Regions from separate parts of the Mus musculus genome. Here region 2 is reported to be linked to region 1. The links are microRNA targets in miRTarBase. Many come from high-throughput screens and were not tested one by one. Region 1 holds a microRNA gene; the other region holds the end of a gene's coding sequence.

Evidence for each region. Region 1 holds the annotated microRNA mmu-miR-3061-5p (CAGUGGGCCGUGAAAGGUAGCC, at 1,972-1,993, opposite strand). A microRNA usually pairs through its seed, bases 2 to 8, with sites in the 3' UTR of a target mRNA and lowers its output. Matches are read on the target gene's strand: a 7mer-m8 pairs with bases 2 to 8, a 7mer-A1 pairs with bases 2 to 7 and ends in A, and an 8mer does both.
Region 2: the mRNA of Eif1ad is a reported target of mmu-miR-3061-5p. Seed matches in the 3' UTR shown: 7mer-m8 at 1,667-1,673.

What each region holds. Positions count from the first base shown.
Region 1 is chr11:52,124,317-52,128,751 of GRCm38, reverse strand. Mir3061 (microRNA 3061) reads right to left here and starts at 2,006; the gene lies at 1,916-2,006.
Region 2 is chr19:5,369,505-5,373,939 of GRCm38, forward strand. It overlaps Eif1ad (eukaryotic translation initiation factor 1A domain containing), which reads left to right. Exons shown (of 6, transcript NM_027236.2): 6 at 422-2,007. The coding sequence ends at 581. Among named protein-coding and RNA genes, the nearest start is that of Banf1, 4.8 kb to the left of the region's middle.

The DNA.
Region 1 (4,435 bases):
AGCCAGGAGCAGCAGCAGCCGTCCATCTGGCTACACTGGGAGCTGTAGACTGTTGTTTCTTGGTGTAAAAGCAGAGTGCAGCAATGAGGATCACAAGGTCAATTCACTCTTGCTGCACACTGAGACGACAGAGACCCTGAATTCCATGCACAATCACAGAATACAGTGGGAGGGGCTGCAGAGATGGCTGAGCAGTTAAGAGTAACTGCTGCTCTTGTAGAGGAGCTGAATTTGGCTCATCACCCACATAGCAGCTCAACCCACTTAAAAAAAATTATCTCATGTATGACTACAATGTAGCTGTCTTCAGACATACAGAAGAGGATATCAGGTCCCATTATAGATGGTTGTGAGCCACCATGTGGCTGTGATTCCTGGGAACTGAACTCAGGACCTCTGGAAGAGGAAACAGTCCTCTTAACCAGAGCCATCTCTCCAGCCTGACTCTAGGAGATAAAACACCTATTTCTGAGCCAGGCAGTGGTGGCGCGCACCTTTATTCCCAGCACTTGGGAGGCAGAGGCAGGGGGATTTCTGAGTTCAAGGACAGCCAGGAACTGAGAAACCCTGTCTTGAACCCCCTCTGCCCCCCCCCCATTTCTGACCTCTGTGGCCACTACACTCCTGTGCACAAACAAACCCACCGACACACTGATAATTTGAAAAACCACCTACAGATGTGGGTAATGGAAGCACAAGGCCCTACTATGATACCCTTGGTCCTTTATCTCCCTTCCCAACATGCACTTCTCTAAGGGCACCTGTCACAAGGAACTTCAGTACTCTGAGAACAGGGACAGCCCTGGTTACACCACTTGTACTGATCAAATAAATGGCTACAACAGCAGGGTGAACGTTACCTAGCTTTTACTCTTGCCAGCAGCCCAAAGGATAAGGAGGGATCGTTAAGACTGGCAAGAGTTAACTCACCCGTGTTAGACCACCACAGAAGGGACTGTGCGACACATCAGGAGGTGGTATATTTGTTTACAGTTTATTGAGTACAGTATAGGAATGTAGCACGCTGGTCAGTAACTGGAGTACTGCCTGCAGCACATTGTTCTAAGAATTTCATACCGGAGTACAACCCACTAGGATATGCCCCCCACCCCCTTTCCGACTGGCTGTCTTAAATTCATTTCTCTTTTCACTCTGAATATTCTATTTATTTTTGCTTTCCATCTCTCATCTTCACTTGTAGCTCTCTGGCCATCTTCCTTCTGCTCCCACCATTCCTGTTGTCTCTGGTGGTCTCATGGTGGATGCTTTTCACTTCCTCTGCTTGTTTTTGAGGTTATCTTGGTGGTTTCCATCTTCCTGTGACACCTTTTGGTATGCTAGGAGCAGCTCTGCCACTTAGCCATGTTCCCAGTCCTCGCCTTATGGTACTTACCACCACCCATATGGACGTTATCCCCACGTCCATGGCTCAATAGGTGGTCCTAACTGGTGTTTTGAGAGGCAGTGAGACATGGCAGCTGGCAGTTGAATCACAGGGTCAGGCCTTTGATGCTTATATCTTCTTTGCTTCCTATCTCTCTCTGCTCCTCCTTCCTCCCAAGCCATTACTTGGTAATTAACTCCTCCTGCTGCCAAAACAGCCCTCACCTCTGTTCCTTTCTCACTCTGGCAGACCATAACCCTGAAACTGGGCCAAAATGAACCTCTCCTCCCCTAAGATGCTCCTGTCAGGCATCTATTGACAGTTACATAAAACATATACACTACTACACCACAATGACAAGCATTTTTAAAGACTAAAAGACATAAACATCCCAACCCAATGACTGGGATCCAAGTGGGAATGGCTAGAAAGTAGAAAGGGGCATGGGGCTCAAGACCCACTGCTTGGCATCCATCCTATAGCCACAACAGAAACTCCAGGACAGGGAGACCTACCGAAAAACACCAATGCATGCACCGTGGGGCAGTGGACTATCAAAGGTAGCCTTAGCTCAAAGGGGACCACCAGGCTACCTTTCACGGCCCACTGCCCCACAGTACACAATATATCAAGGTACACTCATCATTGAAGCAGCAAAGAGGGATCTAGGTACAAGATCCCTCAACGTAACCCAACACTTCATGACAACTTCGAGGTACGTCCTAAAAAGGTTGCACCTTGAACAGTCTCCAACATGTGACTGACCTATATACCCCAAAGGCGTGTAAAGCTCAACCAGAAGACAGAAATAAGAAAGAAAGCAAAACGAACCCTTTAAAAGTTCTACTCTGTCAAGTAAGATTGCTGGACGGTGGTGGCCCACACCTTTAATCCCAGCACTTGGACAGAGGCAAGTTTTCTCTTTCTCAAGTTTTGTTTTCTCTCATTATGTAGCTTGGCTGATTTGAACAGAGATCAGCCAAGCTACAAAAGATGATCCTGTCTCAAAACAAAAGCAATCCATACAATCAAGGTACAGAATGGAAATGAGAAAAATGGTGATGCATCACAGTATACCACACACACGTATGAAAATGTCACAATGACACGGTATCTTTACAGTTCTACCATATAGAGACTGGCAAGGGGCATGGTCAAACACATTTACAACCTTGCAGAGGTTATTTTTAACATAGACACAATTGTGGAAAAATTAACCCAAAAGATTTAAGTCTATAAAATGTAAAAGCAGTCAAAGAATTATGAGATTATAGGGAAAAAAAAAAAGGTTTAGGTCAGGAGAATAAAATCCACTTCAAAATTAAGCCTATAAATTATTGGCTGTTACGCTGGGTGTGGTGGTGCACGCCTTCAATCCCAGCACTCGGGAGGCAGAGACAGGCGGATTTCTGAGTTTGAGGCCAGCCTGGTCTACAAAGTGAGCTCCAGGACAGCCAGGGCTATACAGAGAAACCCTGTCTCAAAAAACAAACAAACAAAAAATTGGCTGTTTCCAGGAACACAGTAAAAGCCAGTTACCCCAGAAGATACCACCAGTACCACAAAATCCAGCTGTAGTTACAATGGTTATTTACTTTTAAGACAGGATTATGCTGGGCACGGTAATATATACCTTTAATTCCAGCAACTGGGAGGCAGAAGGAAGTTCAAGGCCAGCCTGGTCTATATTGTTTCAGGACAGCCAGAGCTACATTGTGAGACTCCGTCTCAAAAAGATAAAAGACTGCTTCACCATGTATCCTGGATTGGCCTGGAACTCAGAGATCCATTTACCTGCCTCTGCCTCCCAAGTGCTGATATCATAGATGTGAGTCACCATGCCCCACCCAGCAGTGTTCTTAACCCTAGACATACTATGCTCCTAATAATTCAAAGTAAAATATGTGGGCATCAAGATTGAATACCACAGAATTAACTGCGGCTCTTCCAGAGGTTGGATTTGGTCTTTAAGCACTCACACCAGCAGCTCACAACTCTGAAGCTCCAGAGGACCTAGAGGCCTCTGTTAGCACCACACACATAAACAAAACAGTAAGTCAAGAAAGGGAGACACTGTGCATTTGTAATGAAGAAAGGCAAACCGTCTCCCAATGGTCACTGAACATTTCAAGAGGCTCAGATGTGCCATTACACAGGCAGGTGGCAACCACACCACCACACTTTTGTTTCATTTCAAATAGCTACAAGGACCATTATGATAAATGCTTGAGGCATACATAGCCCGACTTGACACAATGTACAAATCTCAAAACATCACCTGGAAACCTTAGATAGTACATTGTTTTTGTTTTACTAAAACCATTATACATATCTTCTTCAAGTACTCAAACCCAACAGTAAGCTTTATAAATTGTTTCAAAGCAACCTTTTAATAAAAAAATAATAATTTATGTGCACATGAATACTGATGTCCAAGGAGACCAGAGGTGGATGTGGGTCCTCTTGAAGAGCAGTGTGTGTTCTTAACTCTGGCTCCACTCGCCAGCCCCTAAATTATCTTTTTTGAAACATCTGTGTGTGTGCATACATCACCATTTGTGCATGGAGGCCAGAGGACAACTTGCAGGAGTTGGTTTTCTCCTTCCACCACGTAGATCCCATGGACTGAGCTTGAGTCTTCAGGGTGGCTGCTAAGTGACTATGCCTTTACCAGCTGAGTCACCTTACCATATCCAAAGTACACTTCCCTGTTGAATACTCACTCTTAGGCACCGAGATCCACTATCTGCCTCCACAATGCTGGGTGACACATGTGTCATTATATACAACTTTTAGAGATGGAACCCAGGGCACAGTACATGTGCTAGGCAAGTGCTCTACCAATGAACTACATTTGTAGCCATTAACACGTCTTTTAAAAAGACTGATCTTTATTTTTTGTTTGAGTGGTTTGCCTGCAGGCATGTACACCACATGTGTGTCTGATGCCGTGGAGACCAGAAGAGAGTATCAGGGCCTCTGGAGTCGAAGTTATAGGCAGCTGGGGGCTACAAGATTGACTGCTAAGCACCTGTCCAGACTTCTTGACAA
Region 2 (4,435 bases), not on the chromosome of region 1:
CGGTACATCAGCTGTTAGGAAATGTGAGCATGCTAGGTGTCAGTGTGCTAGTAGGGTTGCTTCCTCACTGAACCCGATGAAGGGCTGCCTGGAGGCAATCCTGAGTCTGTTTCTTTGACTGGATTTCCCTATTTGCTGTTTCTCTAGAAAAAGCCTCTCCCAGAATTTTTTTTTTTTTGGCTTCTGTTTGTTCTTGAGTCAGGATCTCATGTGGCCTAGACTGTCCTCAGACTCAACCATCTTCTGCTTTAGCCATCTAAATACTAGGCATGTGCCACTACATAAGGGTTTGGGGCTCTTGGATTTTCAGAAACCTGTCAGATTCTGATTGTATAGTTGATGGTCCTGGTTTTGGGGCTCTAAATGAATAGATCTGGTTTCCCCGGAAGATGTCACCTATTCTTTCCTCCTGTTCCCACAGAGAGAGTCAACCAGAACTCCCTGCTGAGCCACAGCTGTCAGGAGAAGGGTCAAGTTCTGAAGATGATTCTGACCTCTTTGTCAACACCAATCACAGACAGTATCATGAGAGTGAGGAGGAGAGTGAAGAAGACGAGGAGGAGGAGGAGGAGGCAGCCTGAGCCCCAGGACCCACTTCTCTATTTGCTCAGGGACTACCCCTTGGCTTTTCTGGGCTTGGACATCCCCAGGGTGCCCTGCAGATCTTTTCCTTTGGATGAGGACAAAGATGGCCCCTTTCTGAACTGACCTAAAAGAATTAAACCCCTGGTGGGTGATGACTTACACTGGTGTCTGAGTGGCTCTCTGTGGAGGGAAGCTCATGGTGAAGTCTCTTCGGTGGTGGAAGCCTTGGTCACGTATGAGGAGAATGGAAAGGAAATGGTTTGGCCTAACTCTGCTGCATGTGTCTGGTTCACAGTACCTCTCTGTACACTTTATGCCTCGCTCTACACTGTGCCTTACTGGGTCTTCTTCATACCTGCTTTCGTTTAGTCGTGATTCCAATAGTTAAGCTTGTTGCCTAGGACCTAGTACTCACTTGCCTCTTAAGCACAGCTGAGGACAAACCTCTTGGTGCCTTGTTGTCCCTTATTGCAACAGTGCATACTACCTGCTGCCATACAAACAACACCCATGCACCCTGTCTCTCTTCACCTTAGGCACCTGTCATTTCCAGAATGTGTCTGTGGTCAGGATAACCTCCTTACCGTCTCATGTTTTTTTAATTTTTCCAATTTCCTCAGGGTATAAATTTCCTGTAATCTTGAGATGGTCTGTAACGTAGGTTTGCTTGGGAATCACTGTATAGCCTAGGCTGACCAACTCAATGGCTGTCCTGCCCACAGGCATGAACCTGTGGGGCTCCTAACCTTTTATTAGAGGCTATTGCAACGCCCTTACCCCTTGTACCTCAGCATCAAAAGGCTGATCGTGGCAACTCAGACCTCTGCTCATGACTGCCTCCATTCATTTACTCACTCTCATTGCCTTAGTTCACAGATCCTTCAGTAGCCCAGGTACTCACTAAACTTCGAGCTTCTGTGAACTGTGTCTGTCCTCGCTTGTTGGAAGGCTTTTGCTTCTGGCTATACACTGCTAGCATTAACCCAGCCCCTGCTGAATACCATTGAAATTGACCTCTCAGCTCAGTATTGCCCCTGCTGGTCATTTGCTCCATCCCACAGTGGAACTCTTCAACCCTGTTGCCCACTCCTAATGTGTGTGTGTGTGTGTGTGTGTGTGTGTGTGTGTGTGTGTTTTCCGTGTGCACTTGTACTAATGGAACTTCTACTTTGGAGCCTTTCTGAGGGATTTTGTTTTTCTGTTGTGGGTAGTTGGTTGAGTGTGGAGGCATGTATTAGCTTCATATGCTATATAGAATCTCTTATTTTTGAACAAATCTTATGATCATACCCTCTCTGGCTTTCATTTATGTCCGTCATGTTTGCTTTTTGTGATAGTAAATGTATACTTGGGTATACACATGTATAAAATACAGATGTATATACATGGAAAAATAAACTAGATGGGTTAAAGATGAACCTATCTTTAACTTCTCTGAATTTTTTTTATGAAGAGTTTTTTTTTTTTGTTTTTGTTTTTCGAGACAGGGTTTTTCTGTTCTTTTTTGTTTTTGTTTAGTACTGAGCCTTGAGCACTTGGCATGGTAGACTGGTGTTCTTTTGGTTTGGTTTGGTTTTTTGAGACAGGGTTTCTCTGTGTAGCCCTGGCTGTCCTGGAACTCACTCTGTAGACCAGGCTGGCCTCTAACTCTAGACTGGTGTTCTTAACAAGCTAGATCTACAGCTTTTTGCTGTCATTTATGGGAAATAGAGAACTAACTTTAACTAGAGAAATAGCCACTTGCCCCTAACTCACTCATTAAAGGGCTCGTTCTTTTCTCATTGATACACCTTTTACCTTTTTTAGATGCAGACAGGTACAGTTAGTGCGCTCCTCTAATCCCAACCCCAGCACTTGGGAGGCAAAGGCAGGCAGGGCTCTTGAGTTCTAGGTCAGCCAGAGCTGTAGAGTGAGTTCCTGTTCAAAAACAAAAAGCAGGCGAAGCACTGTGGAGGCAGAGGCAGGGTGACCTCTTGAATTTGAGGCCAGCCTGCTCTACATAGTTTTAGGACAGCCAATGCTACATAGAGAGATTATGCCCCACCCCAACCCCACCCCCCCAAAATAATCCTAACCAGTTGTGGCACCTATCTGTAATCCTACTTGGGAAGGTAAAGAGAGAGGATCAAGACATTCCCACATCTGGACTACACAAGACTGTCTAAAAACATTTCTACAATAAGGATCTTTTAGTATTCCAAATCTGCCCTGTGGGTCTTTGTATTTACACTACATATTACAGTACACTTGCTACCTCATAGTTCCCTGACTCCATCGTCCTGAGGCTATCTCAGATTTCCTCATTACATAAGAACTTTAGGATCAACTTGATTGATTTCATTGAATAGTCCTCTTGGCATGGCCAATGAAATGGTTCAGTAGGTACACACTTGCTGCCAAACCTGAGGAACGTGTTCAAACTCCAGGTTCCAAATGTTGGAAGAAGAGAACCAACTCCTGAAAGTTGTTCTCTGACCTCCACAAAAGTTCTTAGACCTCTCCCTACACACACCCGTCTTCCCCAGTTCTGAGATAATGAACATGCACTACCAGCTTAAGGTTTTATTGTTGTGAAGAGACACCATGACCAAGGCAACTCTAAAGGAAAAACTACCATCATGGTGGGAAGCATGGCATGCAGGCAGGCATGTTGCTGGGGAAGGAGCAGAGCGGTCTACATCTTAATCCAAAGGCAACAGCAGGAGATTGTGCCACACTGGGCATAGCTTGATCATAGGAGACTGCCCCCACAGGGACACACTTTCTCCAAGGCGACACCTCCTAATAGTGCCACTCCCCATAGTCAAGCATTCAAACAGGAGTCTGGGGGTGGCAGGGGTTCCTATTCAAACGCGTGCACACACACACACACACACACATGCACTTGTTCATGCATGCATGTACTGTGGCACGTGTGTGGAGGTCAGAGGATAACTCTCCTCCTATCATGAATTCCAGACATCAAATTCAGGTTGTCAGGTTTGTGGGGCGTGCATGCTTATCCACTTCTTGCCAGCCCGGTTGTGGTTTTGTTTTTTGTTTTGTTGTTTTGAAATAAGGTCTCAAAAAAGGGGTGGTGGGGATGACCACCATCGTAATATTTCTTTCAAAGACACACCCCAGAGATCTTTTTTACTACACTCTTTTTATTATGTATTTTTATTATTTTAAGATATTCTATTTTAACCTTTAGTATTGGGGGACATGAAGGCTGAGGCAGGTGCATCTCTGAGTTTGAGGCCAGCCTGGTATACATGGTTCTACCACAGCACGGCTATGTAGAGAAACCCTATATCAAAAAAAAAAAAGCTTTTTTTACTTTTATTATTTTAAACCGAGTGTGTGCTCATGGGTTTGTGAGTGCTGTGCCCACTGAAGCCAGAGGCATGGATCCCCTGGAGCTAGAGTTACAGGTGGTTGTGAGCTGCCAGACCTGGGTACTAGGAACAGAAATTGAGTCCTTTGCAAGAGCAGTAAGTGTTCTTAACCTCTCCAGCAACCTTTATTATTTTTAATTTTTTTTCATGATTTCTATGTTGCCTGACTGGCTTTTGTGGTGGTTTGAATAGATTTGGCCCCTATAGACTCATGTGTTTCAATGCTTGGCCATAAGGAGTGGCACTATTACAAGGTTTGGTCTTGTGGAGGAAGTGTTTCACTGTGTAAGAGAGCTTTGATGTCTCCTATGCTCAAGCTCTGCCCAGTGTGAAATCAGAGCCACCTCCTGGCTGCATGTGGAGGACAGTCCCCTCCTGCTGCCTATGAATCAAGATGTAGAACTCTTGGCTCCTTCAGCACCATGTCTGCCTGCATGCTGCCATGCTTCCTGCCAAGGTGACAATGGACTGAA